3 linked regions of the Rhinolophus ferrumequinum genome follow. The protein of the gene in region 1 purifies or fractionates together with the protein of each later gene. This does not show direct contact. Links are inferred from orthologs where the notes say so. Each region holds a gene or a part of one and is shown on either strand. Other genes may lie near its edges.

Region 1 (10,584 bases):
GGTGACACTGTGATGGGGAGCAGCCAGGGGCTGCAGGGCCAAGGAGCCGCTAGACACGGGAAGGCCTCCTGGAGCAGGGAGCCTCCCCACCTCTGCATGTGAGCGGACTGGCCAGCCCAGAGGCAGCGTGGCGGAGGTCTGGGGTCGCTGTGAGGAGCTGACCCTGCGCCTGCTGTGCTTTTGAGGGGTGGTGAGGCAGGGCTGCATTTTTGGGGAGACCAAGATGGAAGGGGATGGGAAGTGGCAGGGGAGAAAGGGGGTGCTTGCAGGCTCCCAGCCCTCGTGGTGCGAGGACAGCAGCAGGGCAGGCCTTGGTGACTGACTGTTGGGCTGACGGGGCTTCAGTGTGGGCAGCTGGGTACAGGGCGCTCTGGGCAGCAGGAGCTCACCAGCCGCGGGACCGGGGCAAGGGCAGGCGTCAGGCCTGTGCTGGCACCAGCAAACGGGCAGCACTGCCCAGCCCGCTCCTCCCAGAGCCCACTGCTCAGATGCTGCACCCCTGCCCCCCCCATGCCCCCACTCCCGCCCTTCCTGACTGCAGGACTCAGGAAGCTAGGTGCCCCCACTCTCTCTGGGGGCCCTGAAAGTAATTTTGTTCCAGGTCTGTGCATTTCTCAGGATCCCTAGCGTGGGTGGAGGGCCAGAGACGGAGACGACGGGTGGGACTAGGGGAGATGTCCTTAGGGGCGGGGGGGGGGGTTCAGGCAGGGCTTTGTAGCTCCCAATGAGGAAGTGGGGTGGGTGTCAAGGGCAGGCTGCGTGCTGGGCAGGACGGCCTTCCCCTGCTCAGTCAGCCGTTAGGGCAGGTGACAGGTGCTGTGGAGGCCTCTTGCTGACTGGCCTCATGGGCTCGTTAGTCACTCGAGGTCCAGGGCTTTGCTGGCTCACCCGGCCAGGATTCTGGGGTGGCCAGTGCTCTGCCCTCCACGAGGTCCCCCCACCGGGACCAGCTGTCAGGTGGCCCCAGAACCCCCACCACAGTGCCGAGGCCTGGAGCTGGGAGCCTCCTGGGCCGCCTCCCATGCAGGCGGCCACAGGGCCAACCTGACTCTCGGGAATGAGCGCCGTCTCCTGGTGGGGACTGGCACGGAGCCTGCGGCCCTCTCCAGCAGAGCACGGTGCGGGGACAGGGGACAGTGCCTGGAGATGGCTCTGTTGTCACACGAGGTGTTGCTGCCCTAACAGGTCACCACAGACTCAGTGTCTTCAATTCATGAACTGTGAATTCTGGACAGTCCAAAACGTCTCACTGAGCTAGGGTCAGGGTGTGGGCAGGGCTGCCTTCTTTTCTGGGGGCTCCACAGGACAATCGTTTCTCGCCTTTCCAGCTTCTAGAAGCACCCACACACCTTGGCTCATGGCCTCTCCTCCATCTTCTAAGTCACAACGTAGCATCTATGATCCTTTCCATCATCACATCTTGTCTCCGTTCCGCATCCTCTCCCATTAGGGACCCTGTGATTGTCGGGCCCACCCCATAAATAACCCCGGGTCCCTTTCGGGTCGCCTGGTTAGCGACCTGCACTGTCCCTTACCATGTAACCCAGTGCAGTCACAGACATGTGCACCTTTGGGGAGGCACTCTGCTTTCCACAGGGGCTCCTGGCACCGCGTGAATAGAGGCCAGGTGTGCTACTCACCATCCCACAGAGAACAGGACGGTCCCCACAACCAAGAATGAGCGGGCCTCCAATGTCAGCAGTGTCCCCCGAGGAGGGTATAAGGCAGCCCAGGAGCCCAGGTGAGAGTAAGGTCCACCCAGCAGGCAGGGCAGGCAGAATCAGCGTGGTTAGGATGTCACTCCTGGCCACCTCTGACAGCGGGTACTGCAGTGCTATCTCCGTATCCACTCTAGACTGTTCTTTCACTTCAGATTCCCGACCAGGTATGTCTCTCCCCAGCTCTAGGAAGAGCAATGCACCTCCCCGGGACTCACGGGGACACCCCTGATTGGAGGGAGGACATAGTCTCTCGGGTGCAGGCTCTGGGCTGGCCATGTGGTCCCCTTCATGCCCTGGCATCCGTCTGTGCCTCTGCGGCCGGTGTGGAGCAGGGTCTGAGGCTGCTCTAGACACGCCAAGCAGAAAGGGGAGCCCCCTCAGCCCAGCCCCCAGGACCAGTGGGGCACCTGGGAGGTGTAGCTTGCGCTCCGAGGGCCAGTGGACAGCCACTGCCTGGCACTGCCCCCACTGAAAAAAAGGACTTCATTGGCTTTGCGAGGACACTCACTATTCCACAAGCCAACAATAAAGTTTAAAAAGTGTTGCCCACGATTTCATCACCGAGATATTGTTGTCGATGTTCGATAAAGTTTACGCAGGTAGTTGTAAAGGCCCAGGCAAGCATGAGCGGTCACGTGACACACAGAGACCGTGCAGAGCTACTCCTTTAAGTAAAAGCATTAAGGGAAAACATGGTCAGTGAAATGTGAATGCTTCTTTACCCCAAGTTTCAAAGATGCTCCTAAGATTATTTTTAGAAATTACAAAAACCATGATGGGACGAGTGTCACTTGGTTTGAGGCAGCATGCTTCCATTAGCCAGAGCTGGCTCTCCTGCTTCCTGTGTCCTGTGACTGTGTCCTTCCTGCCCACGGACTCCCCATGGTCCCCTGCACCACTCAGCCCTGAGTCCGTACTGACTTCATCATGTCTTCAGTGGTTGGATGTAAGGTAGCTTTCACATTTTTAAAGAATTTTATTTCTTGGTTTCTTCCAGGTTTAAAAATGTTTTCCTGGGGCCTCCCTACTCCCGGGGGGATTTGGCTGGGGAAGGGTTAGGTTCTGCTTTCCTGCCCCAGGCTCCTGTTCATACTTCGGGCGCTGCTGGAGACCAGGGCTGGCCTGACTACGTCCTGGTCTGTGATGCCCTCTCTGTTCTCTCCGTCCTTGAGGGTCAGTGACTGGTAGTCGGGTCTCGGGTGGGTCACGCTGGGGGCTTTCCTAGACTGTGGCGTGAACTCTCACACAGGCTCCCAGCGGGCCCCAAGGGCGCCTCCTTCACCAGTGTCCTGACCGCTAAGCAAGCAGTGCCCCTCGCCATGGTCACTGTCTGAAAGCATGTGATGTCATCACACCATTCGTTACCTTCCCTCCTCCCCTAGACTTTGCGCCCCTAAGAGGGAGTCTCCCAGGTGAAACAGTGTGGCCTGAAGTCGGTGCTGAGTGAACCGCTTTAATTGCTCATCCAGCCACTCCTGTATCAGGGACCTGCCATCCTGCCCCTCCACAGGGGGGCCTCTGCTCTGGCCCTGCTGCCATGTCTCTAGTTCTCGGGCTCCTCCTGAGCCCCGCTCCTGCTTCCAGTGCTGTCCAGTGCTGTTCCAGAAGCTTCCAGTGCTTCCCAGCCCCGTCGGCCTGCCCCTCACTCCCCCTTGTTCTGCTGCTGCTGTTGACTCACGGATGTGCTCTGACCTTCTTCACATCACTCCTGCTCTGACGAGTCTGTTTGCTCTGCTACCAAACGGAGGAATTCGTCTTTTTTGCAATGTATCAGATGTGTTGACTTGGCGGAACTGGTTTATGGCCTTAGTCCTACATGCAGCCACTTTGTCAGTCAAGAGTGGGAGCCAGCTGGAGGAGCTGGGCTGCGGTGTCCCAAGACACTATTAAATGTCATTCTGCTTTGTGACAGGCACGTCACCTTAGGGGAGACTTGGAATTCTGGTGTCTTCCCTCAGACACCGGTTGACCTCAGAGGCCTTACTGTCCACTCTCAGGCAGCCCTTCCTCCCTTCACCCCCACTGGATAGAGGGAAACAGTAGGCTGGGTGCCCATGGCATCTGCTCTCAGGTTGAGGCCTCCAGTTTCTGGGAGGGAGGCAGAAGCTCTTGTGCATGATGGCTGCCTGGTCACCTTCTGGTTGTCCTGACTCCTAGGTCACTTTGTGAGGTGTTGGTGGAGGATTTTACGCTGCAGCTTTGCTTTCCAGAGGAGTCGCAGGCCAGAAAGGGAGGACAGAGGCCTGTGGGGGGGAGGGGAAGCACCCCACTGCCTCTCCTCCCCTTGGAATATCAAATCCTAGTATCACACCTGTGTCCTATACCTAAGCTCCTCCCCCATCAATCACAACTGTGGTCTCACCCCCTCGCTGCCCTTTCCAGCTAAGTTCCTGAGAGATGGTGGCCCATGGTGGTACCACGTGGCATGTAGTCCATTGCTCTCCTGGGACCTCTGCCTGCTTTCATCCCAGCACACGCTCTGGGCTCCTGCCCACCTCGATAGTTCCCTGTAAGGACCTGTCCATGGGGGGGTCTCCTCTACCACGTGGCATCCTGTGCTGAGCCGGGAGCCTCTCCTGAGCTCCACTCCGTGAAAGAGCCCCTCCATGTCCCACAAACTGGACATGCCCCCCCCCCCGCCACAGACCTGCCCCATGTGAGTAAACAGATAACTCAGGTGTTGCTCAAACCAGATCCCTGGAGACCCCAGCACCCTATTTCCCTCACCCCCCAGCAGTGCTGTCAACCCTGTCTCCACACTATGGCTGGGACGCCATCCTCTCTGCTTCATGCTCTCTCCCCTGGGGGCATAAGGACCCTGGTTTTGCCGGCACTGCATGAACCAGACTCTCCACTGTCCTAGGACCTGAAGCAAGAAGTACACAGACTTCCAGATTCCAACTGGTGTGGGAAGGAGAGCCAGGTGCCTCACTGCACACAGGCAGCCCTTCCAGCCCTCCTGTCTTCTGGGCATGGCACATCCTGCCATCCCAACCCACTGAGTCTGGGTCAGTGAGGCCTGCTGGAACCCCAGCCTCAGATGTGTCTTCCAGAGGGTGTCCTCTGGGCATACATGCTGCCCTCCTGCAGCCTTTTCATCAGACCACAGGCCAGGGAGGCCATGCCAGCTCAGTAACTGGTTCACTTGGAAGTGGGGTGGGGACACCCCCACATGTGAGCATGGCTGGGGGAATGGGTTATGAGCGGCAAGGCCTGAGACCCAGGGTGAGTGGAGACAGCAGCCTTGAAGGGAGGTATGGGTCCCATCGTGAGGCCAGAGCATGGCTGCTGGGCTTTAGGGCAGTGGAGGACTTGGAAAAGACCCACCGGAGATGGGGGTAATGGGGGGGGGTGGGAGGCCCCTGGAAGGGTTCGGGAGGCTGTGGAGGGTGTGGTGGGGATGCTGTGGGAAGGGACGCTGAAGATGTGGACCCAGGGATGGGGAGTGGGGAGGACCCACCCCGGTAAGGGACGCTGAGGATGCCAGAAGGACCCAGACATAGGGAGCACCCTAGTGGGTTGTAGGAGGACCCCTCTGGGGAGGAGCAATGGGAGGATCCACGAGGGGAGAACTGGAGGGGATCCACCTGGGGGCTCCAGGGAGGGCCCACGGTGTGGGGAGAACAGGGAGACCCACCAGGGGGCTGGGGAAGAACCACAGGCGTTGGGGGGGAGAATAGGGAGACGCCTCCCGAGAACTTGGGGAAGGACCCACTGGGGGGCCGCGGGGAGGACCCACGGAGTAAGAACGGGGGGACCCACCTGGGGGCTGGGGAGGACCCACGGGGGGGCGCGGGCGGCTGTAACGGCGCCGGCGCCGAGGCCCCTCCCCCGCTCGCGCCGCTCCTCCTCTTCCTCTCCCGCCCGCCGCGGCCTCGGTCCCTGCGCGGCCTCGGCGGCGGCGGCGGCGGCGGCAGCGGCCCCTTTAAACCGCCCGCCCGCCCGCCGCGCCCCCGCCCGCCCGCCCGCGCCTCCATTTTCCAGGCCGCCCGCCGCCCGCGCAGCCCGCGGCCCCGCCGCCGCCGGACATGGCCGCCAACATGTACAGGGTCGGAGGTAAGGCCGTCGCCGGGCCCCGGGCCCCCATCCCCTGCGCGCCGCCCCGACCCGTCCCGGTCCCCCGGGCCCCCGTCCCCCGCCCTCCAGGCCGCGCTTCCTAAACCGCCGCCGGGCCCCATCCCCGCCCCGCCGCACCCGGTCCTGGCCCCAATGTCCCTCCCCTCCCCCACCCCACCGGCGCAGCCCGGCCGCGCAGCCCGATCGGCCCACGACGCCCGCACCCCTGCTCCCCTCCCCCACCTTTCGAGCAGCCTGCCCCTCCACTTCCACCCCTGCCCCGACTGCGGACAGTGGGGGTGGCGGAGTTGGGCCCTGGGGAGCGGGGCTCTGCCCACCTGTTGGGGCGCCTGCGTGACCTGGGGGCCCTGGGGAGAGGCCGAAGCATCCTTTCGGGCCTGGCAGCCAGGGCTGGGCCTGGGGCCTGGCCAGCCCCCTCCCGGAGCTGGAGCACGTGGTCTTGCGAGGTGCTTGTCTGCTCTCCCAGGAGCAGGAGACTTGGGCCTGCAGGGCTGGCTGGAATGCTGGGGGCCGTAGGCCCCTGTGGGGATGGGGAGCCCCAGGCCTGGGCCACGATTTCCCCAGGGTCCAGGGACACCTGAGAGCTGCGTGTGTATTTGGAGGCTTCCCTAGCAGGATCCCTTGGGATCCTCAGCAGGATGCTTCCAAAGCACCCCCAAACTTTTCACTGCCTCCTGTGCCCCAGGCCAGCAGGGAGGTGCTTTGCAAGGGTTGGGGAGAGGCCGGTGACCCCTGCCCTTCTGCCCTGGTGGGGACTGTGCTGAGCAGGCTGGGGCCCTGGGGGCTTCACCCTCTTGGGCCCCAGGAACCCCCCTTACCTTTGGGCCTTGCCCCACTTTGTGGGGAGGGTCCTCAGGGACTCTGTGCCTCTGGATTTCCATGGAATTCTGAGCTGGTCCTCAGGTGGCTTCTCCACAGGGAGGTGAGGGACCTTGCAGCCCCCCATTTCATCGATGTTCAATCTTTCTGAGACTGTCAGACACTCACTTGCCCACCTTTGCCCGGCTCTCCAAGTCACCTCTGCCCCCAGTCTGCCCCCTCACTGGCCTGCTGACCCCTGGGTGTCTGGGACACATCTCCATCTAGCCAGGCCTTTTTTGTGACCAGGACCCCATCTGTGCAGTGGGTCATCAAGGCACCTGCCTGCTGTCCGGCCCTCCTCTGCCCTCTCAGGTTCAGAGGTGGTCTCTAGAATGGGGGCCTGCACCCCACTTAGCAGCAGGCCCTTGGGGAAACAGGGAACAGGCAGGGTGCAGGGGCCCTGTAAGGGAGGAGCCCGTTCATCTCCCACCTTGGGGAGGCAGGAGTGTCACCACACCCTAGGGAAGGCCCCATCACTGCTGCCCTGGACCCCCAGGGGGCCACTTACCTTTCTCCACCCCCCAGCCCCTCTGCACAACCCCCAGCTGCTGTGGCTCAGGGCTCCTGCATCCATCCCTCTCGATGCTGTCCCCCCTTGCACCCTCCTGGACCACCTTTGTGCCACACAGATCCCCTCCTACCTTCTGTGAAGCCCCCATGGCACCTGCTGATGGGAACAAGTCCCTGTGACCTGAAGCCCACCTGCTGCCCCCTTGAGGTGACCAGCTAGAATCCCCTCTTGCAGGCATGGTCTTACCCTCGCATCCCGTCTGGCCCTGAGTGCAGAATAAATGAAGGCTGAGGGGGAGGCAGGGTGGGGGCTGCAGCCACTGTGCCTTTGGCCCTGCCCAGGCACCTCTACCCGCCTCTGCCTTGTGGGGCCTCCACTGTGCCTGCTTGTTGGGATTGGCCCTTCCCAGGCTCTGGGCCCCTGGACCCCGACTTGGGGTCTCCCCTTGCGTGTGGGTTGTGTCACTTAGCCTCTAGGTCTCCTACCTGCTTGAGTACTCAGCAGGGGCCCGGCCACCCCCCAACCTTCCCTTGCCTCAGTTTCCCTGAGGTGTGGACAGGGCTCTCTGACCTGCAAGGGCTCCTGGGGAGGCCTGGCTGGCCTTGAGTCTGCGTGTGCCCCTCTGAGGGTGCTGTGGGATCTCCTCCCAGTTTCAAGTGGCGCTCCGCAAGTGTGACCACAGGCTCCACTTTGAACTCCTGTCAGCCCCTGGGAAGACCCTAAATGTGGAAGAAACTGCATTTAGCCTTGGTTTTGGTTTCGGGGCGGGGACCCTGACGTGCCATCCCCTGGGTCCCGGCAGGGCTGGTGTCACAGTGTGTGCGGTGTTGGCAGGTCAGCATCCTGTTCCCAGGTGCTGCTTTCTTGGGGAGGGGCCATCTAGAAGACGGGCCCTCTGGTCCCTGAGTGGATTGTAGCCTGGAGGACACTGCAGGGACAGTCTAGGAAGGGACTCCCATTGTCTCCACTCAGAACCCTAAGAACAGAGCCTTTTCCAAAGGTGCCCGATTCTGCAAGCACAGCTAAATTTGGGTTTCAGATAAACAATTTCTTAGCATAAGTACGTCCCAAATAACGCATGGGACATACTTATGCTAGAAAATTCTTTGCAGAAATCTGCAGTATCTGGATGTCCTGCATTTCACCTGATGGGCTGTTTCAAGGCCCTGCCAGGATGTGTGGGCGGGGTGAAGGCATGGCTGTGGCTTTGTGCCAGCTGACCAGCTGGGTGGAACGGGTCAGCCTGGGAGGGGACAGGGCCTGGCTCTTCCCAGGGAAGTGACCTGGCCATAGACAGAGGCCTTCTGTCAGTAGGCTGCGAGTCTGGCAGGTGGGTGGGCGGGGCCTGGACACGAGTGGCAGGGTCAGGGTCCACGACCTCTGCCCCTCGGGGCCTGTGCTCCAGAGGACCCGGGCAGGCTTCTGGAACGGGCCGTGGCTGAGGGCTGCTTCTCTGCACACCTGCCCAGGTGCCTGGTGACGTGTCAGCCACCCTGCAGTGTTGTCATGCGGCTGACAGGCTCTGACCATTTCCCACAGGATTTTTTTTTTTTCTTCCATTGCAAGAAGTTAACACCCATTCTTATGGATAGTTTGTTTTTTCAAATATACTTTAAAAAAGTGCCAGGAACATCCTGCCACCAGGCAGCCTCTGCTCTCCCCACATCATCGGTTTTGTGTCTTGCTGCGTTCATTACGTCAGTACGCTGTCCTGCTGTCAGAAACGCTGCTTTCATTTTTTTATTTTAAGCTTTTGACAAGGTAAGACAGTGCCAAGCATGAGCCCCCAACTTCTGAGTGGCCTTCAGGGAAGTGCTGAGCTGCCCCAGGGGTTGGGGCCCCCCTTGTGGCTTTGAGAGAAAAGTTTGACCCTTCTGCTCTTGGATTAAAAAGAAGCAGCTGCTGATCTGAGTTGGAGCGAATCCCTCACGCCTGGGCCCCACAGGGCGGGACCCTTGGGGTCTGGGCACCCCTGCGTGTTTCCAGTGCCTTCCTGGAGGCTGGCTCAGAGCAGGGCATCTGGACATGTGGACATGGGTGCTGGACATGCCAGGCATGGAGGCGGGCGCCTTGTGGTCGGGACCGCAGGGCTCCTCCCGGGCTGCCTCCAGCTGAAGTGGAGGTGCGCCCACCTGGATTCCGGGCGGGTCCCGCCGGTCTGTTGCCCCGAGTCCCCCGGAGGAACCACCCTGAGGCCCCTGCCCAGCCCCCCCCCCCCCGGCACCCCAACGTGCCTTCTCTCAGGAGTTCAGGCTCTGCAGTGTGTCCTGTTCATCGGCCCAGGGCCTCACTCTCCGTGCCTGTCTGTCCTTAGGGCAGCGGGGGTGGGGGCACACAGCTCATGGCAGCACACAACCTTCCTGGGCTCCCAGGACCCCGCACGGCCGGCGAGGGGTGCTGGTGCAGTCTTCACAGTGGTTGAGCCCGGGCGCCGCTGCCCATGTCGGGGCGGCCTTGGGGGCCTGGTGGGCGGGGCTGCTCAGATGCTCTCAGGAGCCTGCCTGCCCTGCCCGTGCTGGTCCCTTGAGTCCCTCCTGCACGTGGTGGCCTCAGGCGCCCACGGGCACCACCTGCCTCCGCACATTTCCAGGGCCTCATTCCTCCGGGTTGGACGTCTTCTCCCAGCTCCGTGGCCTATGCCCGCACTCCGGGCCCTTTCGGCCCCTCCCTGACCACCTGCTGGCCGCTGCCTTCAGAGCCGACCTGCTCATGTCCCCTGCCTGACAGTGCGCAGTGGTATCCTGTGTGGAGGGTCAAGTCTGAGCCTCTAGCGGGCCTGGAGTCCGGCCCCGCCCTGCCCGCTGCCTCTGGGCTCCACTTCGCCCTCTGCCTGGTGGCCCCAGCCTGCCCTTCACGGCCCCCCAGTGTCACCCTCACGAGTGGGTACTGGCTGGGCTCAGGACCCCAAGGTGAAGGCCCAGGTTCCTCCGGGTGACAAGGGGCCGTTTGTCACGGGAGTGAGGTGCACAGAGGGCAGCACCTCCCAGCAGGAAGGGGGTTCGAGTGGCCAGCAGGTTCCCGGAGGCTCTGTGAGTGCCAGGCAGATGGGCTCTTCGGGGTGCTGTGGGTGGGGCACCCCTGGGGGTCGTCTCTCCTGTGGCCACTTGCGGGGACCAGGGTCAGCACAGGGCCTGGGCAGTGGCCAGCTGGGAGTTGGACGTGCTCCTGGTGGGAGTGGTGGCTGTCAGCGGTGGGCACCGGCAGCGCCTTCAGAGAAGAGCCAGGGGCGGCAGGTGGTGGGGGCCAGGCAGGGACCCTCTGTCCAACCAGCAGATGTGCAGAGAACCGGCTCGCTCAGGCGCCAGCACCCCTACGACTGGACATGAGCCTCCGTCTGCGCTCCAGCCCCTCACTGCAGCCGAGTGGCCCTCTCCTGGCCTGCCAGTGCCGTAGTTTTTGTATTTTTGTTGACGA
Region 2 (9,841 bases), on another chromosome or scaffold:
TTGTTTAAAAGCAAAAAGCTTCATGGAGGGGGGGCACATAGGAAATGAAGTTTGAGATCTTATTAAATTTATGTTTGTACTTATTGTGTTTTTTCCTTAGAAATGCTCTAATTTGGGAAATCAGATTTGTACATCCAAAAAGCAATGTTGAAAAAAAAAATGGATCTTTTGATACTGGGGTTCTTAATTACCTATGGCTTATTTGGAAGATATTGACAGTGGTGGGCTGCTGGAGTTGATGGAAACATCTTGCATTGCATTTTTAATTGTTCAGCTGCTCTGATATTTGGGATAATCATTTTGAGCTCACCATCCTTGGTGGGAATCACTTTTAGGCTAAAATCACTCTTAATTAGGGTTGCCTGATCAAAGTCTTAGTGGTTTCCTGAGGAAAACCAATAGAATATAGATGGTTATATTCATTTCATTATGTGGTGATAGATTTATTCACTAGTCACACAAAAAAACACATTTATTGAGCATCTACTATGTGCTGAGTATCGCATTAGGACTTTCTAATATAGTACGTGGACTGGGCTTCATTGGCCAGCACCTCTATGCCTTTGATGTCAATATTAGGGGAGCTAGACTGAGCATTTCACCCTACAGTGCTCTAATCAGAACTCCCTGTTGTCTTCAAAGGGGATTCTTACTTAAGTGGTGAGACTACTGCTTCCCCCACTCCCCATACATTATTGACTCAGCACACAGCTCCCCAGTCTGGAGGCAAGTACAGACTTATTTAGAGCAGATTCAGCTTTTTCCTTCCTCCTCTTTATCTCTCCCTTCTTTAATTTTTGGATAGGTCCATTCAGGTATGTGAAGTAGTTTGCCAGCCAGCCAAAAGCACAGGGAGCCTCTGGAGAAGTACCAGGCTGTTCCCCCAGGAACCTCCCTAGGGGAAGTCTGGTGCCTTTGCAGAAGATGTGGACACTGCCCCTCCAGGGGCCTCCTCAGGTCCCAGGCTCTGGATCACACTGGAAGTAGAGGAATAAGACATGTTATGTGTGTGGAGGGGTGGAGGGCTGGGAGTGGGTGTTTAGGAGCTTAGGGAGTCTGAGGAAAGAGGGGACTGTGGCCTTCTGCTCACCTTTCAATTTAGAGGTGCCTACACAAAGCCCATCCCCTTCCTCTCACACAACCCTCTTCCCTTCTCTTTTTTAATTAATATTTCCTTTGTCCTAAACAAAATCCTAGTACTCCTACCCTCAAGAACCCCAATGCAAAACCTATGCCTAATGTAGAATCTATACCTAAGTTTTATTTTTATGAGATGACTGCCCTTTCTCTATCTTCTAAACTGTCCTCTAGGAAAAAAAAAAGTGAAAAAGCAAGGTGGGATCGATTGCATTTTTAAACCATCATTCATTCAGTCATTCATTTATTTATCTTTAAGTTCATAAAGGTGGTTTCCCCCTAAAGGCAGACAGTGAATATTTTACATTAATCTTGTAGTTTCCTTCTAGACGGACCTTTAACCCTTCATTCTCTGGCTCAGCCCAAGTCCCCCGCGCCAGGCGATCCTCTGTACGAGGGCTGGGACTGTATTAAGTCTCCCTCTTCGAGCTGTTTGTTGACCACATTCACGTTCAGAGCCCTGGAGCTAAAAGCACTTTTACACCATAAAATAAAAGCAACTGTCTTTTTTTTCTAAAAGGTTACGTCTGGAGGCCACGCGCTCATACTTCATACCGAAAACTACTGAAAGGACTATGAAATCCTCTATGATTTACACTCTCTCACTGCATTAGAGTATAGATCTACTAGACTCTAAAAATACGGTGAGTTTCTAACCGACGTGAATATATGTGCATTATTTCAGAAAGTCTGTTAGAAAACTTGTCAACACATTATAAAGCATAAACCAGGACTTGGCTATTAAGTACGGAGATCAGAGGCAGAATATATACTGCGAGGAAGTCCTGGGGAGTCTCTCCTCCGCGGGCAAGATAAAAAGGGGGCGGAGGGGAGGGGAGGGGTCCTCGGTTGGCCTGGAGTTTACACGCAATGTCGTCACCAAAGGTTTGGGAAAAAGCCCACGGAGCGTAATTGCCCCCTCAGTGGAACCAGCAAAGGTTCTACAGCTCCAAATGAAGTTAACTGAACGGCCAAAAAATAATTTTAACGTTGTCATAATTTATTACTTTCTAAAAGCCACTTTTGGAAAGGTAAATATACTTATTGTGTATTCACGTGTGCGCGTTTAACGTGACCTTTCACCCCTCTACAAAACCACCTGCATCATTAATCAATACTTATGTAATATTTTTAAAGCTCTTAAAACAACACATTTTTATTTCTTTAAGCACACATAAAAACCCTTCCCCTCCCCCACTTTTGGGGCGCTTTAGCGAGCATCTAACCCCAATGAGGGAGGGGGGCGTCACTCCTAGGGACTAGCCCAAGGAACCCGGAGTGGGGGTCCACGACCAGGAGGGACCAAATGCCTATACACAGCCCTGGTTTTCTGGACTGGGTGAAATCAGGCTGGGGGAGGGGCGGGAGCGGAGGGCATTTCCTATTTCACTCAGGGGCATTTTATGATGGTGAAATGAAATATATGTTAATGGTGGAAACGTTGCTGCTTACCTCTGCATTGGCACCCAGGGAAAGCAGCTGCAAAACTGGGTTTTTAATGTATGTTTTAAGATGTGGTTTCGGAAGGAACCCCCTGGAATCTGAAACAAGTGCAATAACATAGCAGACCTACTTGTAACTAAGTGCTTAATTTCCTATGATTTTTTTAAAAAAGAAAATCAATAAAATGTTGCCAGTTATTTATTGGAAATAACCACAGATAGCGGCCCTGATAGGGTGCCAGTTTTAGAGAGCACACAATTGTGTAATGAATTGTAATTCAGAAGACTGTTAAATGTGAACCACAGAACCTTTCAGAGGTAATAAGTCATTACTTTTACACTACAGCCAACCCTGAAAAGCTTTATACATACCATTATATATAAATCATACATATATATTTCCACAACACACATTCGCCCATTTATACACCTTCTTTGTGTATGGACATTTATGGATGGATGGGGAAAATATTTAAATTTGCAAAACTCGGTTCCGAAAGAATCTGACTCACTATTGTTACCTGAAGGGGTTTTATTTTTCAATTTGTTTTCAAAGGCCTCCCAGTTGTACTTTCTTCTTCCCTTTGCTCACCTTCCCTCCAACCATTCTCCTCCAAGTCCCGCTGCCCAGCCCCCTCCCCCAACTCCGCAAAGACATTTTTTGGTCGCTTTAAGGCTAGTTTAACAAGACAAAAAAATAGACAGTAGTGGAAGAAAGAAGCTGACCTGGTCTGAAGAACTCATGACAAGGGGGAAATGGTGTAACGCACAAACGCACAATCTACAGAGCTTTACTGAAAGTGAAATCTTCCTGCTTCTTAAACGGGATTTGAGTCTCCCTCCTCCCCCAAGCTGGAGGAAACAACAAACCACATTTACACTAACTCAGTCCAGCTTAACATCTTTCCTAATGTTGAGCATCAAAACCTCCTTTTCTTCCTTAGAGGGGCCCGAAGCTTCACCGAGCTAGGCAAGCCAGTCATTTTCTAATAGGTTTGAAACTTTACTAAGACAACACATGAATAAACAGCCGCTTGCCGGCGCGACTGGGAAGTGGGTGCGCGATTGCAAGGCGGGGGCCCTTGCTTAAAACAATAAAGCCCCTGCTGGGTGGGCGAATTTATGAAAAAGACGGCCCTTAGACTGAAGAGGGGGAAGAGAACCACGAGGGGTTGTGGAAATCCTTGGAGCACAGGGGAGACTGCTTGCTCTGCAGATACACACTCACACACGTCCACCTGCAGCTTGGAGTCTCGCGGGCTGCGGCCACCTGCCTCCACCCTGCAAGCTTGCGCCTCCCTTGGACTTGAGTCCCTTTTCCACCTCCCCCCTGCCCTTCCGGATTTGCAATCGCAGCGCGGTCTCCGCGGCGGCAGCGGCGGCTGAAGCTACAGGGTGGCGCAGGCAGGCAGGGAGGCTGGGAGGCGGGAGACGCCGGGGACTTTGCAGGCACGTTTCTGAATAAACTTTCCAATCGCAGGGGGTGCTGTTGCTGTACATTTCACGTAAAACTGAAAGTATCCCACGCCAGAGTGAAGCCCGCTTTTTGACAGCGGCAGTGTGTGTGTGTGTGTGTGTGTGTGTGTGTGTGTGTGTGTGCGCGCGCGCGCGTGCGCGCGCGCATTAAAGAGACAGGGGTTTATTTCCAACAGGTCTTCCCTAATTTCCCGAGAACGTCTGCAGAAAGGCCAGACCGGGGCTGCCGTTTCCCAGCGTGTGCGCCTTGGCCAGGAGCGCTTGAGGAGCACGGCGCTGACCCCCGGCGGTCACCCCACCACATGGCCTCCCCGTAGCTCCAGCGAGACAGCCGTTCTCTTTGCATTCCCCATTTTCTCTCCCCGGGTAACAGCACAGGAATAGTTGTGCTCTGCCCGTAAGAAACATTTCTTTCTATTCCTCAGTGCTTTTGCAGTTGCTCGGGAATGGGAGGGGGTGTGTCCATCCCTGGGACCCGGCTCGGGGACCTCGCTCAATGCCGGGAGCACGTTCCCAGGGATTGGAATTACCGGGACTGCCGGTGCTTTGTCCTCTGGCCTGCGGCCGCTCGGTGAAGTGGACGCCTCGGCGCCTCCCTAGCCCAGGGCCCCGGCTCTCCCCTCCGGGGACCAAAACGTGCCCCCAGTCTGGCTCCGGGTTCTTTATTCCTCAGCCTCTCTCCGCCACCCTAGGGAGATTCGACTCAGTGCTTCTAGTTGCATCCAGACCCAATCGCTTGTGGGGGCGCGTAGAACCACAGCCCTTCCACCCCCAGTTTGGCCTTGGGGGCGCTCTCCCAGCCCTCCGACCCAGGCCTGCACCACTCTCCTCGCCCTTGCCCCTCTCTCCAGGCAGCCAGGGCTCCGGGAAGCCCGGGGGCTGCCCTTTCGGACCCGCCACCCTCCAAACTTGGGCTGGACTCTGTTTCGCCGCGCGCTCCCTCCCGTCTCCCCTCGCCCGCTGCGAAGCTGTAACTTGGAGGCTCAACTCTCAACTTCGGGTGATTTTTCTTTACGATCCTCTCCTTGGGCAAAGTTTCCCGACCGCAGCCGCCGGCTCAGGGCTTTCACTTGGGCCCCGGCGTCCGCACGCGGGGAGAGAGCGCAGCGGCAGTGGTGAGGGGAAGTGGGTGTGCGCACGGAGGAGGGTGTCCGGGAGCAACTCTACCTGGCTTCCCTCCGCCCGCGCTTCCTCGGCCCGGGGCTGCAGTCTCCCCGTACACGCCAGCTTTTTAATAAAAAAAAAAAAAATCTTTCATTTTTGGGGTGCGTGTGCTCGAGGAGGAGGGAGCGCGTCTTGCTGCCCCCAACCCCTGACCCCCCCCCCCGTCGCCCCTTTCTTCTTCCCGGGCCACGCCGCCGCTTCGGCGTTGGCTGCGGCCACTCGTGAGCCCGCGGCCCCAGCTCCCCCTCCCCTCCGCCTGCCCCTCCCCCGGGGGCCGCGTCTGGCATCTGCGGAGCCCCCCGCCCCGCACCTCCCCCGCCCCGCACTGGCCATTGGCTTGTCCTGGTCTCTTTTTCATGTCCAGCCCCTGATGTGTGTCCATTGGTGTGAGCTTCCCCTTCCCTCCTCCCCTCTCTCCTGCTCGCCCTGCCCATGTTTTGTGTGTCTCTGTCCATCCAGACTCCTGACGTTCAAGTTCGCAGGGACGTCACGTCCGCACTTGAACTTGCAGCTCAGGGGGGCTTTTGCCATTTTTTTCATCTCTCTCTCTCTCTCTCTCTCTCTCTCTCCCCCTCTATCTCTCCTCTCTCTCTCTCTCTCTCTCTCTCTCTCTCTCTTTTTTTTTTTGCTTAAAAAAAAAAAGCCATGACGGCTCTCCCACAATTCATCTTCCCTGCGCCATCTTTGTATTATTTCTAATTTATTTTGGATGTCAAAAGGCACTGATGAAGATATTTTCTCTGGAGTCTCCTTCTTTCTAACCCGGCTCTCCCGATGTGAACCGAGCCGTCGTCCGCCCGCCGCCGCCGCCGCCGCCGCCGCAGCCGCCCGCCCGCCCCGCAGCCCACCATGTCTCGCCGCAAGCAAGGCAAACCCCAGCACTTAAGCAAACGGGAATTCTCGCGTAAGTAACCCAATAATAGTAATAATAATTATTAATAATCACGAGAGTGCGCAGGACAGAAGCAAGAGCGAGGGGGGGAGAGGGGTGTGTGCATGCATTTTAAAATTTTTTCACGAGAAAAACCTCCGAGAGTCGGGATAAAAGAGATTAAAGGGAGGGGGAAAAAAAGCAAACCTCATTCCATCTCGAATCATAGCCGTATGTACTTTTGGGACAGCACGCACCTTTTAATTTTACAAAAATTTGACTCCTCCTCTTTCCTGCTTTCCGCTGCTTTATTTCGCTGTTCGAAAAGGAATGCAATGATTTCCCCTCTAATTTTGCAAAATAATGAACAATGCTATGTATGGATGCGAACAACTCTCTTGCAAACCTAGGGGAGGGAACTGGAGGATAAAGGGGGGTTGCTTCCACTCATCGAAGGAAGGAAAACGGGGTGGGGGGGGTAAGAGAACCCAAGCCTAAAAAACAATTCCCAGTGAGAAAAGAGGTGAGACTGGCCCTCGGACATCAGCGCGCTCACGGTCAAGTGTGCACCGGGAGGAAAGTAGTCATCTCCACAATAGTGAGAAAGTGGGATTGTGGGATGGGGCCCCCGGCGCTCTGGAGTCTGCGGAGTGTGGAGAGGGGCCGCGGCGGCTCGGAGAGCCGGGCGACCGGCAAGGACGGGAGACGCGGCCGGCGCTGCCGCCTTTTGTTCCGGCCCGAGGTGGGTGTTTGTCCCGCTGCCTTTTGTGCCGGCTTCTAGCGCTTGCCCTCCCGCGCCGCCGCCGCCGAAGGGCAGGAGCAAGGGCCGGGGGTGAGCAAGAAAGGGAGGGTGGGCGCGGGTGCCGCCACCGCCCGGGTTGTGGCTGCCCGCCACTCCCGGGAGAACCTCAGTGGCGGATAGAAGACGCGCAAAATTAAATCAAATTAAATTAAAAACTAAATATAACAAGGCAAGAGAATGTAAAATTTCTTGCCCCAAAACAGAAGCCAAACGCTCCGCGGGCAGTTTCTGCAACGCGCTCCTCTTTGACTCCCCCCCCACCGCAAAAATCTCACACTCTTTAAATAGGGGGGGGGGGAAATACAATTACCCCCTTCCCCAAAACCTCTTTAGTTGCAAACTTAGAGCGCCGGCGGCACGGAGAGGGAGCGAGGAACTCCCTCCTCTTACTATTTTTTGGAAGATTTTCAAAAAAAGTGGAAGTGGATTTTGATTGGGAAAAATCTCGTGTCTGAATGTTTACAAGCACCGCGTGTGCGGGAGCCTCCTGCCAACAAACAGACAGAGGACCGAGCGCGGCGCGGCAGCCCGGGAACGGGTGGCTGCCGCGGCCGGGCCTCGCTGGGGCCTCGCCGGGCCTTGCCGCGCCCCCGCCCTTCCCGAGATTGCCCACCCGGCGCCCGGCGCCCGCCCGCCGGCACTGCTGGCAGGCCGCGCCGCAACTCTGCGCCAGCGGGGTCCACGGTTCTCTCGCCCCCAGCACAATACCCAAACCTTCTCTCGGCCAACCCGACTGCGAAATCCGCTGGGGAGAAACGCGGCTTTGCAAAACATTTTCATTTTGCGAAGCAACTGAAAAATCGAGTTTTGCGACCCCCCCCCCCCCCCGTCTCTTGTCCACAGCTCGGGACGGCGGGGAGGTCACCACGTGCTTTCCCTGCCCTCCTCCCACCCAGTCTGGTTACCAGCCCCTCGGCTCCGGGAGCACTGACACGCGGCGGCGCGGGGGGGGGGAAGGGTGTTGGGGGGTGGTCAGGAGAGTAATATATTCGAGTACGCGTTTTGGGAGTGCTGAATCTCGGGATTCCGTGCACCTCACCCTTGAGTTCTTTCCCTTTACCCCTGGTCTGGCTCGGTCGGGGGCGAGGGGGGGGTCCTTTTGAGCCTATCAGTGGTGGGTGGGTTGCTGTCTCCTCGCTAACAGAGTGCGTCTGGAAAGGCTGGCGGTGGGCACTTAGGAAAGTTTGGCAGTGAGGAAAAGAAAGGCGTGACAGGGCCCACATCCTTTCTCCTCATTCATGACCCTTATTTTAATTTTTGATGCAATTTTAAAGGGCCACAGATACCCAGTTCTGTAGTTTTTAAATCGGGGGGTGCGCACAGGGAATTGAATTTTTCACTGGGCCCTGGCTGGAACTTATCACAGACTTTGGAAGCTTCCCCCGCCCCAGCACGTTGCGGGGCCCTCCCTCTCCCCACCCCCGCGCATCCCTCCCTCGCCGCTCTCCCCCACCCCCCACTCCCCCGGCTGCGCCGGATGCGGAGCAGACGCGGCGCGCGGCGGTGTGAAGTTACAGCCGGGCCAGGTACCCGCGGGAAGGAAGGGCAGTGTTCGCAGAACTCGGGAAAGCCGGGCCCTTCTTCGGAAGGATGCATTGGGGGCTCAAAGGACAGACTGAGGCGTGCAGTCCGGGCTGCTCCCCTGCCTCCCTCCCCCCATCCCGGGTCCATCTCGGGACACTCCTGGCTGGGTGGATTAGTCCCCTTTTCCCCCCGCCCTAGTGCTTTGGGTTAAGGGACCAGCTTGGAGGGGGTTCGGGGGTCGCTTCTTGTACTGGGTGCAAAGAGGGGGCGGGAGCCATTCAGGTCTTTAGGAACCCCCCCAACCCCCCATCCTCCGCTTCTTGGGCTGAAAGAGAGCCATTCGGTCGCTAGGAGGCAGAACAAGATCAAGAAAGCTCAGCGAACTTGAACCTGTACCAGAGCCTCCCCCCACCCCCAGTTCTGCGTTTCTCCACCGGGGAGGGAAGAGCTTTGCGAGGGTGGGGGTGGGGGAAATGGACGGTTAGGCAGAATTCCCTTTCTCCCCTCATCACCTCTTAGGTCTTTGTTCTTCATTTTGACTTTAAAAATGCTTCAGGCCAGGCCTGCGTGGAAGCGCCTGGGCGCACCGACAGCCCCGGGCACGGAGAGCCGAGCAGGGTGGAGTTCTCGCTTTCTCTCGGGGCGGGCATTTTTGGTAGGGAGGAAAGGGGAGTGCGCGCCCTTCGGCTTCGGGGTAAAGCCAAAGGGCAGGATCCCGCAAGTTTGCACTTAATCTCTAGGTTCACTCCTTCCAACTCCTCATCCCCGCGCAAAGCACCTACCCCCGGCTCCTCCGCCTTCTGCAACTCTCGCCTCCAAGCCCGAAATCACAACAATAGTAATAGTTATCATCGTAATGATGCGGGCAAGCAGCGTCATTAATAATGAATAATCTCAGCGGCCGCCGCGCTGCGCACACCAGTGCCGGGAATTGCGGGAGAAATGCATTTGCCGAGATCTCCCCAAGTAAAGTGTGAGCCTGTGGACACAGAATGAATTTCAGGAGCCGCGCTTGAGGTGTGTGCGGTGATACCGAGACTGCACCAGGTTAACCAGCTGAGTTTTTAAAGCCTCGAGTACCATTTCTCCCAACTGGCGGGCCCAGGGAACCTCGTCACCCGGCGGTCGGGCTGGATGGACGTGGAGGAGGCAGTCGGGGCCCCTGGCCGCCAGCCGCCTCCTGGCCCCGGGCCCCGCGGCCCTGCGGCCGCTGCTGCACGTGTTCGCAGCGAGCGCCGCCGTAGCCTGCAGCCTGCACGCTGCTCGCTTTGTGCTTCATAGTCCCTGCGCCCAACTTCACTTTCTGCACAGCCGACCCGGCCGGGCCCCCTGCCCCGGGCCTGTCGTCCCTGCCTTCGCTTTTGTTTCTTTGCTTTTCCTCTCTACATTTCAGCCTCGGTTTGCTTCCTTACCCTGTTAAAGACA
Region 3 (10,381 bases), on another chromosome or scaffold:
ACTCCAGAGGGAGGGAAGGGTGGGCCCTGGGGTTAGTGCCACTTGTGCAAAATGAGGAACTTCACATTATCAGTCCCCGGGCGGGTGGGAGCGGGGGCAGGGGGCCCTCCGGCCGGCTCAGTCCCCTCCCCGCTCCCCAACTCTGCCCGACGCTCCGACCCCGGCGGGGAGATTCACAGTGAGAATGGGAGTGGTCGCAAGGGCCGGAGGTAGGGCTGGGAGCGCCCCAACAGTGACACCCCTCCCCCAAAAAGCAGCACGGAGCCCGGGGGATGGGGCCAACGAACCACAGGAAGAGGCGGAGAAGGGCCGGGGGTCTCCTTTGGTCAAAGCTGATATCAAAAATATAAATCTCCCTTCCCCCACCCCACCCCCGTCCCGGGGTTTTCCCCTCACCCCCACCCCCGGGCTAAGGCACGAAGCAGTGAGGCCAGGTGAGGCCGCAGAGAGGTGGGGCCGCCGCCACTGCGGTGACGCTGCCGCTGCTACCACAGTTATCCTGGAGCCACGGTGTGCCGGCTCGCTGCCGCCGCTGCCGCCGCTCCCTGGAGGCACAGGCCAGGGGCCACGCAGCGGCAGTGGGGCGGGCCTCATTGTGGGGCGCTCTAGGTCGGGGAGAAACGGTCGATGGTCCGGCCGTCGGGCCCAGCGGCCAGGTGCGCTCCCTGGCTCAGCACCTCCGCCGCCTTGTCCGGGCTGAGGCCCAGTTCCGCGGTGAACTTAGCCAGCGGGTAGAGGCTCTCGAGCGCCACCTTGGGGTCGTGCAGGAAGTGCGTGGTTTGCGCCAGCAGCTCAGCCGCGGCGGCCTTGTCCTGCTGCTTCAGGCTCAGCTGTTCAGCGGTGAGGCGGGCCACAGCAAAGACGCCCTCAGGGAAGTCGAGCTTGCCCTTGCCATCGGGGCCGGGGACGCCAGGCAGCGCCCCCAGCCCCGCCAGTGCCCCGGCTGCGCCGGCCGCGCCACCCACGGCGTGCATCTTCATGTGACTGATGAGGTTGCGTTGCTGTGCGAACTTGCCACCGCACACCTGGCATTCATAGGGCTTCTCGCCCGAGTGTATGCGCATGTGCTCGGTGAGGCGGTACTGGCGTGTGAAGCGCATGCCACACGCGTCGCACGCAAAGGGCTTGAGGCCCAAGTGGCTGCGCATGTGTCGCGTCATGGTACCACGCTGCGTGAACTTCTTCCCGCAGATGGTGCATGGATAGGGCCGGGTCAGCCAGTGCGTCTTCTCGTGCTGCCGCAGCGTGGCCGGGTCCTTGTAGCTCTTGTCGCACGATGCACAGCGGTAAGGCCGCAGTAGCTCGCCCAGGCCACCGGGAGCCCCAGCGACCTTGTCCCCACCGCCTCCAAAAGGGGGCCCGAGGCCCGCAGCCCCAGCAGCTACTTCAGCTGCCTCGGCCCTGCCATACAACGCCTCCTCCTCCTCCACGTGCGCTTCCACGTGCGCATTCAGCTGCTCTGAGCTGGGGAAGCCCTTGCCACACGGGATGCACACGTACAGGTTGTCACCGAAGCTCTCAGGCTCTCCATAAGCCAGATGCGGGCATGGGTAGCCCTCGAGGTGGCCGCCAGGCGGGCTGGGGTCCTCGCTGCTGCCCGTCTCCTCGCTGCTGCTCTTGTAGTCATCACCGTCGCCTCCCGCGCCAGGCCCGTCCATGCTGCCCGGATAGCGCGGTGGTGGAGCCAGGCCGAGCGGGGGCCCCCCGGGCGAGGATGCCGGGTCCCCGCCGCGCTCCTCGCAGCGCTCCCCTGGGGACCCCCGCTCCCGGCCCAGCTCGTCGCCATAGCTGCCTAGGCCTGGCTCGTGCTTCATCCAGCGGTAGAGGAGGCTGGGCCCGTCGGGGCGGCCGGGGGGCTCGGGTCCTGGGCTGCCGCCGCCGCCACGGAACGGGTCCGGAGGTGCTACAGCCTCCTCCAGCTTTTGGAAGGGCAACGGTGGCAGTGGAGGCAGAGAAAGCGGTGGTTCCTTGTAGGCTGCGGGGCCGGCGCTGGGAGGGCTGTCTGGGCGCGGGGGCAGCTCGCGCTCACCAGGCGGCCGCTCCGGAGGCGCGGAGCCCGATGGGCTTTTCTTGGACAGGTCCAGGCCACAGAGTGGGGAGCAGCGGCGCTCCGGGGCACAGAGTGCGGCCGCCGGGCCGGGGCCGGAGGCGTACAGTTCTGCGCAGTGCGTGTTCACTGCGGCTTCGGGACCCGACGGCGGCTCAACGCTGGGCGGCGGCGGAGGCCCGGCTGGGGACGAGTAGCAGGCCTGGATGACCGGCGTGGCAGCCCGCAGGCCGCGGCCTGGCCGCCCGTAGGGTGCATAACCACCGCCGCCGCCGCCGCCGCCCCGCAGGTGGCAGTACTTGCCGTGGCGTTTGAGGCGCTTCTTGCACAGCGCCACGAGGTCGGGGATCTGCAGGTAACTGGCCGCAGCCAGCACGGCGCCCAAACTCGGCTCGGTCCCCGGAGCTACTGCCGCCGCAGCAGCAGCCTCTGCGCCATCAGCCAGGCGGCCGGTGTAGATGAAGTCCAACACCAGACGGAACACGGCTGGGCTCACCATGTCATGGTCCAGGTTGAGCAGGTTGTCATGCACCACCAGGGACTTGAGGTAGGCGCTGCTGGCCGCCAGAACGTTCTTGTGCGCGCGGAAGAGGGCGTTCTGCACCACGATGATCACGTCGCACAAGAAGCCCTTGGTGCGCTGGTTGTTGAGCTGCAGCAGCAGCTGCCTCGAGTGGCCGGGAGCCTCCATCGTGTCCAGCATCCTCTGCCCAGCACAATCTCCTGCGGGGACACACACCAGCCGGTTCAGAGCCGCACCGAGCCCTCGCTGCTGGTCCCCAGCCCGGCGCGTCTCCCCTCCACTTTCCCTTCCCCTCAGCTAGGCACGGGCATCGAGCACCGTGGCCTGGGCACTGGCGGAGGATCAGCGGCCTCTGAGTGTGGGAGCCTGGGCCGGAGGCCCAGACCAGAAGAAGGAGCAGGAGAGTGGCTGGTGGAGAGGAGGCCAGGCTGGCCTGCACCCCAGGCCCGGAGGTACCGGGCACACAGGCTGGCTTCTGGGGGGCTTCCAAGGAGAAAACTGTTCGGGCGAAGTGACCCTTTCGGAGACAGTTACCCGATTTGAGGGAAATGTCCGCTTCAGGAAAAGTCATTCAGGGCCGAGAAGTTTGCCCAAGTGGGATCTAAGGCAGACGAGTGAAAACCGCCTCCCGCCTCGGGAGAAGTTGCCCCAGTTGGGGGAAGTGATCCGGAGGAGGGGAGCGCCGTGGCCGCCGTGGCGCCGCCCTGGCCGGGGGCTGTCAGGCCCTCAGTTGGGGCCCGGGCGGCGGCCGCGGCACCAGGAGAGGAGGCAGCGGCTGCCGTGGCGGGCAGAGCACGAAGGCCGGGCCCCGGCGCGGGGAGGGCGTTATATCGGGGCAGGAGGCTGAGGCAGGAAGCAGGTGGGGGGGAGGGGGGAGCCACGCAGCTCCCAGGGGAGGGAGGGGGCAGCGCCCCGGGCGGGCACGGCGCGCAGCCGGCTGCGGCCCTGACCTCGGCCTGCGCCCCACCCGCGTCCCGGCCGGGCCTCGGCCTTAGGTCTGCATTCGCAGACCGGCGCCACCCTCCCCAGCTCCCCTTCTCCGCGGGAACTCCGCCGCCCCAAACTTGGGGAAAAGTTTCCCAACTTCAGACAGGCCGGGAGGGGCGCACCAGCCCCAGTCCCCTCGGCTCCCAGCTTTTTCTCTCGCCCCCCATTTTGGCAGCCCGGCGACCGCAGGGCCTGAGTCGAGCCTTGAGCTACCCTGCCCGCCCGCTCGCCCGCCCTCCCCTGTTCCCCGCCTGGCCCGCAGGGCCTCGCGGCCCGTTACCTGCGGCCGCAGCCCGACCGGGCTTCCCTCCCCGCGGTGGTGGCAGCTCCTTGCCCGTGCCCCACCCGCCCCGCTGCCAGGCGCCGAACTGTGCCAGGGCAGCGCCCCTGCCAGCCCCGCCCGCCAGCTCCCCTTCCCTTCCCCTCGCCTCTCCAGCCCATGTGCGGGCAGAGCCGGCCGGGGCCGCTGACCCCGCCGTGAACCCGGCGCAGAACAGCGACCCTGTGGTCCTGAGTCCTCCAGGGGCGACACTCGGAGCTCCGAACGCCAGCCGCGTTGGGACGGCCGCGCCGGAGGATGCGCCCGAGGCGGTCAGCGCGCGAGGACCGGGCTGTCTAGGTCCCCTGTCCCTCCCGGTCCCCAGCCCGAGGACCCACCTGGGGGGCATGTCGGAAGCCCCGGGCCCGGCTGCCGGCGGATCCAGGGGGGACGTGGCTGCGCTGTGCTGCCCTCCGCCCGCCGGGCCCCCGGTCGGTCTGTCCTGCTGGTCCGTCCTCCCCACGTCCTGGTCGCGTCTCAGCCCCGCCGCGCTTTCCGCACACTCTTATCTGGAGCGGCCCGGGCCGGCGGGTTCTGCTGCAGTTATGGAGCCACCTCGCGGTCGCGCGGAGCTTTGCGCGACACAGCCATGACCTCCCTCTCGCGCACCTGGGCTGGAGGCTCGCAGATGCGGAGTTGGATCTTGCAGGGAGGCCTATTCGCAGATTCACCCTCCCGGATATGCCCGACTGGGAACCCAAGCTCCGGACCTGCGAGCCCCACAAACCCCGAGGTTTTGAGCTAAATGCTCCGGTGTACATATTTGCAGATTCTCACATTGCCCCAATTCGGAGAAGTCCTGCCCTCAAGGAGAAGACTCTGGTGACAGTAGATGGTGGGAGGGTGGTTACGGAAATCCTAAGGAAGAGGAAGATAGACAAGATCTTGGGGGACTCTACTTAGACATTCCTGGATGGGACTGTCCATTTGTAGCCACCCCCAAACACACATATCCTCATTCAGACACGAGTTAAAATGACACATGCACAGAATAAACCCGTTTGCACCCAGATCCTCTCCAGGTACTGACACCTGCGGGCGCGCAAATTTGCACAGATACACCTGCCTGCCCCCTTCCGGAGTCCAAGTCCCGGCTCTCTGTAATACTCTGGGGGCTGCCACGTAGGGCCCTCCGTTAACCTGGACAGACACGTTACCCAAACAGGCCACACTGAACTTGCAGATCTATAGAGGGGCCATAGGATATTCGACTGGGAATTGCTGGACAGTGTCTTTTGGGGATCCCACGGAAGCGAGCGCAGCCCCCAGATTCCCGAGTGAGCCATTTTGAGGGACCTGCTTGGACGATTTCATCTCCAACACACCGATCCGAGAGAAACGTGACAGGAGGGCCTGCAGCCCGGGATCCCCCGCAAGGTCCTGCACCCCGCGTGAAGGCCCGGTTCTTGTAGGTGACACCTCTTGTGGGAGGAAGGGGACCCCGCACTGGCGCACAGGCATTTGCAGGGTTACTCCGGAAGCGTCCCCGCGCAGCCCAGTAGCCCGCATCAAGCTGGTAGCGGCGCGGGGTCTCGCTGCGGCCCACGCTCCTCCTCCTCCCCGCACCTCCTGACCCCCGCCCACACGTGGGGGGTGGGAGTGGGTCCCTGAGAACGCCTGCAGCTGCTGATTGGCTGCGCCTTCCTCAGCTGCCTCGCTAGAGGCTGGGTCGCAGAGTTACCATAGTAACCGTTGAGGTTCGCCCAGATCGCGTCTCTCCAAGGCCTTGGAGAACATAACAACCGCTCAGGGCCGCTGGGCGGGTGGGGGCCATGCTCGCCGCCCCCCATGCGGCCCTCCGCCCCGATGCCCCGCTAGAGGTAGTGGCTGAATCACTCATTGAGGGGACGCCGGCGGTGCCATTCGCGGTCCCTGACGGACACCAAAGGCTCTGGCGCCCCCCAGAGGCTCCCTTTCCTCCACGAGAGACTTCATGGCCTCGGGGCCAGGAGGCGGCTCCTGGTCCCCGCAAGTCCCCATTCCTACCGCGGAGTCCGCCCTCACCCTGTTTCCAGTCTGTGTTCTGGATCAATCTTATCCTAATCCTCTCTTCTGTCTTCCCATGATGGCCTCACTAGGGAAGTAGTAACGTTCCAAAAATGAAAATGGGGTTCCTGAGCTGCAGACCCCTACCGCAGGGGGACGTGCTGTGCGCTGAGACGGAAAAGTGAAAGGAGTGCTGGAAAGAGGTGGGAAGGGTCCTCAGAAGTGCTCTTAGAACTGGGCTTTGATGGATGAAGAGGAGTTCTCCCGCCAGGCAGGAAGGCATTCTTGGAGAAGAGAACCTCTGGGAGGAAGCCTGGAGGCAAAACAAACAAACAAACAAACAAAAAACTCTAGTCAGCCAGACCCCAAAGAGTATGGAGGACCTCTCTAACCTTGTTTCTGCTGTAATCTTTTATCCTCTTGATGGGGTAAGATCCTAGCCTCACAAGTTGCCCCTCAGCTCTGTGTCTCTTTTGTGTGGTGGTGGATTCTGTCCACTGTGGACCCATGTGCCCACTATCCTTGTGTTTTTCCTTTTTTCAGATTTTATTGGGGAAGGGGAAGGGGAATTTATTGGGAAACATGTGTACTTCCAGGACGTTTCCAAGTCAAGTTGTTGTCCTTTCAATCTTAGTTGCAGGGGGCGCAGCCCACCATCCCTTGTGGGAGTCAAACTGGCAACCTTGTGGTTGAGAGGATGCTCTCTAACCAACTGAGCCATCTGGCACTGGCCCATGTGGGAATCGAACCAGCAGCCTTTGGCATTAGGAGCACCGAGCTCCAACCACCTGAGCCACCTGGCCGGCCCTCCTTGTCTTTTTTCAACACTCTACCTGGATCCCTGCTTTCCAAGTTAGCTCACTGCCCCAGCCCTTGTCCTTACATCTGTATGGGAGGGTCTCACAGATGCCCCAGCCTAGCTACCTTCCTGTGGGCTTCACTCTTCAGTCTTTGACCTTTCCCTAGTTCCACCTGCCCTGGCCTAGCACTGCCCCCTCCCCATCCCAATCCAGCTCCTCTCTTTCAATGCACTCCCCTTCCCTGATTGAGAGCCCATCTCAATTGATGGAGCTAGGGTGGACCAGGATCATTCGTTTCCCTGGTCCTCTCCAGAGGAACTCCCACCCACATAGCATGGGCCCTTCCTGCCCACTCTGATTTCCAGGAACTCGAACTCCTCTGCCCTGCCCCCCCCCCCAGACCTGTTTCTGCCAAGCTGCGGAGCCCTCACTCATTATCACCCCCATATGAGCTCTGTCAATGCCACCATTCCACAAATGGGTCCTAAACGTGGTCTGCAGTGCCAGGGTCTGACACTGACACTAGGGGACCTGTCCTCCTCTCTACCTGCTGAGGCTTCCTCTTCCTTTTGCCCCCCCTTCTCCTGCCATCTTTTCCCCACCTCCCCCACAGAGGACCCCCTTGCTCATTTCCAGCGAGTCCAAGCCACCCTCTTCAATTTTCTGCCTTCCCTCTTGTCTCCAGCTCCCAACTGATACCTGGACCCCCACTGGGCATTCCTTCCAGGCCCAGCCTCTTCCTACAAAGCCTTTCGAGATCCCTGAGTTTCCCTACTCTTCCCCTATCCACACCATAGCTCTAGGTGCTGCCCTAGCGCCCTCACCCCCGCCCCCTCCCACACACACTGGAGCTTCCTCTCCTGCCTCACTCCTCAGGGTGACAACACCGCAGTGACCATTGGAGTATAACGCCGCCGTGGGACATCTTGTGACGTCACAGAGCCTTCGGGTCCAGAAACTAAGGAGTAGGATTGGGTACTACCCGGTGAGGACCTTGGAAGGCTGGGCTGGAGTAGGGTTGCATCCCAGGTGTCGCAGAGTGAATAAATATGTAAGGGACCCGTCAGCCCCCCCGCATTATCCTCTCGCGGGTCCCCAGCCCGCAGTTCCGGAAAGTTAACCCCTTGTAGACCGGTACATGGGGCATGGGTTCCCGCCCCCCGTTCCTGCTTCCATGCACCCTCCTCCACCTCCCAGCTCTTCATCCAGCTCCTCATCGCCTCGGTCCCCACCCCCCTCGCCTCTATAAATAGCCCCTCTTCCCGTTTCCTAAATTCCCTGCTGACGTCGGCAACGCGTCAGTGTGTAGGAGCCGCGGCCGCATGAATGAGCCGCCGCACGAGTACTACGCGCGACTATAAAAGCCGCCGCGCCAGCCGGGCTGCAGGAGGCGAGCTGGCGCGGGCGCGACGCGGCCCGGCAGGTAAGCGAGACTGACCCACGGACGGGCGATAGATGGACGGATGCATGGACACGGACGGGAGAGCAACGAGGAGACCCGCAGGCAGCAGGTTGGAGGGCTCCTACGAGGTAGGGTTGGAGGCAGGGTGGGGGATGAGGGTTCCCTCACAGCTGGTTGAACCGGTACCGGAGGCGTACACAGAAACCCGTGCAGCACCTGCCTGCACCCAGATGGAGACGCAGCCACTTTGGAGGAGCATCGAACAGAAGATGGACCCCCGGAGACCCCGCGGCTTTTCCTGGGGCTTCTGCGCCATTCTCCCAAGAAAGTGGGGAGATGCTGGAGCCTCAAGAGACGCGCCCCCACCTCCCCTCCCCTCATCGCGGTGACTCAGCCTCGCTGTCCCCAGCCAGCTGAGCGGGACGCCGGCGACGGACAGATGCCCACCTGCCCGCTGCCCTGAATTCAGCCGGGGCGCCCCCTCCCCGTCCTGTCCCGTCGGGCTGTCCCTCTGCTCCCCCGACTTCCCGCCTCTGCGCGAGGAGCTGTCCTCTCAGGACCAGGCGGGGGCGGGGCCTCGACAGGACTGCCCCGCCCCACCCCCAAAACCTCCCCCCCACCTCCGGAAGTGCCTCTCCGCAGGGACATCTTTGATGTCACAGGGCTTTGACGTCAAGGGCCGCGTGCCTGTACCCGAGCGCTGGGGCCGAGAAAGGCGGGAGACGCGGGGGAGGAAGAGCAGCAGCGCCCCCAGCTGCGGGCGACAGAGGCACTCCCCCCCGGGCAGCGCGCCGGCACCTTGGCTCTAGACTGCTTACTGCCCGGGCCGCCCTCAGTAACAGTCTCCAGTCACGGCCACCGACGCCTGGCCCCGCCCCAGGACCGCGGACCCGGCCACCTGCCGCGCCCCTGGCACCTTTGTACCCCCTCCCCCCTCCAGGGTCCCTCAGCCCGGCGCTCACTGCCCGCGCCACCGCTGTCCGCGGTGCTGATTCAGCGCAGGCTCCGCCATCGGGACGTCGCGTCCCTAGTCCCCAGGGGCTGCGGGGGGGCGGCGGGCCCACAAGCACGTCGCACAGCCGGGGAGCAGTCCGGCACCGGGTCCCCGCTGTGCGCCCCGCCCCCGACCCCCCACTCCAGCGGTCCTGACGTCAGCCTGACTGGAGCTGCCGCGGTGCCGTCAGCAGCGCGCGCCCCGCCCCCGCGTCTCCAGGGCAACCGTGGCTTTCGATTGTTACTGTGGGAACCGAAGGTAACAGTCTACAGCCATGGTCGCCCCGCAGCACGCCCACGCGCCGCGCCGCGCACTGCCAGCCCTGGCTGAGCGAGACTATGAGCAGGAGGAAGCGGGGGCGACGAGTCAAGATTGGATAAGTCTGAGGGCGGGGGGCGGGGCGGGAGGTTCGGTGCTGGCGGGCAGGCGACTCCGGGGTTCGACCGCCGCGCTTTCGAGGCAGAGAAGGAAGCACGGCGTGCAGAGTGTGTCTGACCGTTGGCCTCAGTGACTGACCTGCCCTCCTAGCCGAGGTATTGCAACCAGGAGATGGCAGGAGAAGGGGTAGTGATGAGATTTAGGTTCTTTTTATCTCCTCAGTGTGAGGGAAGCTGCCGGGACCTGAAAGCAAGAAGAAAGGCTCGCCTCCTAGGGACCGAAGGGGGAGGACAAAGGGAAGTTTTCCTAAACACGCCTGACTTCATTCTTCCAGGAACTCGTAGCTGAGGGCGAAGAGTAATCCTTGAACCCATTTTTCTGATGGAGTCACAACCTCCCCTCACTTCTCTCCCCACTCTTTCCTCCTCTGAGCCATCGATAAGCGGGGTCGCCAACCCTCAGGAAGCCAGTGGGCGTGTAAAATCAACCCGGTCCCCAAATCGTTGTCTGAACGTCTCAGCCGTCTATCTCTATGTACTGGGTTCCAATTGCAGACAGTGTCTCAAATTAGCGCTAAAGTGGGGGCATTGAATCAGAAGGGACGAAGTCCTGTTGTGCCAGTGAAGTGTGAGCGATGACCTCTTCAAAACATTGTGTATGTCACCTGCCACCACCATCACCCACTACAGGGGCTGTTGGATATTGGCTTCAGGACTTCCCTAGGGACAGTGTTGGGAATAGTTAATGCAACCCAGCCCTGCCACCAATTAATCAAATTTTTCTTTATTTTTCCATACCCTGTCCTTTTCTAAACTCCTTCTAAGACAATTGGTGCTGGTTTCACAGCTGATCCGTGCCCGCATGCTGCCTCCCTCCTACCCAGGGACCCTGAAGTCTTAGATTAAAATGCACTTGATTCTGGAATCCGGTGGACATCCGTGGGCA

Evidence for each region.
Region 2: the proteins of MTA1 (region 1) and BCL11A purify together in Homo sapiens (affinity purification with mass spectrometry; 4 studies listed by BioGRID and IntAct, counting the BioPlex papers as one, with this or other methods). This does not show direct contact. The link is inferred for Rhinolophus ferrumequinum from reciprocal best matches to the Homo sapiens genes MTA1 and BCL11A.
Region 3: the proteins of MTA1 (region 1) and HIC1 purify together in Homo sapiens (affinity purification with western blotting; 3 studies listed by BioGRID). This does not show direct contact. The link is inferred for Rhinolophus ferrumequinum from reciprocal best matches to the Homo sapiens genes MTA1 and HIC1.

Annotation. Positions count from the first base shown.
Region 1 is NC_046289.1:455,203-465,786, reverse strand, and holds the start of MTA1 (metastasis-associated protein MTA1), read left to right. Parts: upstream 1-5,680; 5' UTR 5,681-5,749; coding exon 5,750-5,777; intron 5,778-6,115; exon of another isoform or gene 6,116-6,469; intron 6,470-10,584. UniProt on the Homo sapiens protein: Transcriptional coregulator which can act as both a transcriptional corepressor and coactivator. Acts as a component of the histone deacetylase NuRD complex which participates in the remodeling of chromatin.
Region 2 is NC_046296.1:28,337,425-28,347,265, forward strand, and holds the start of BCL11A (B-cell lymphoma/leukemia 11A), read left to right. Parts: upstream 1-4,944; 5' UTR 4,945-5,055; intron 5,056-5,632; exon of another isoform or gene 5,633-5,938; 5' UTR 5,939-6,068; coding exon 6,069-6,123; intron 6,124-8,361; exon of another isoform or gene 8,362-8,369; coding exon of another isoform or gene 8,370-8,418; intron 8,419-9,156; exon of another isoform or gene 9,157-9,433; intron 9,434-9,841. UniProt on the Homo sapiens protein: Transcription factor. Associated with the BAF SWI/SNF chromatin remodeling complex. Binds to the 5'-TGACCA-3' sequence motif in regulatory regions of target genes, including a distal promoter of the HBG1 hemoglobin subunit gamma-1 gene.
Region 3 is NC_046304.1:15,993,918-16,004,298, forward strand, and holds the start of HIC1 (hypermethylated in cancer 1 protein), read right to left. Parts: upstream 4,215-10,381; intron 3,926-4,214; coding exon of another isoform or gene 3,838-3,925; intron 3,414-3,837; coding exon of another isoform or gene 3,289-3,413; intron 2,771-3,288; 5' UTR 2,751-2,770; coding exon 606-2,750; 3' UTR 1-605. Other genes in the region: uncharacterized protein LOC117012891, read right to left, coding at 3,289-3,413, 3,838-3,925, 4,215-4,637. UniProt on the Homo sapiens protein: Transcriptional repressor. Recognizes and binds to the consensus sequence '5-[CG]NG[CG]GGGCA[CA]CC-3'. May act as a tumor suppressor. Involved in development of head, face, limbs and ventral body wall.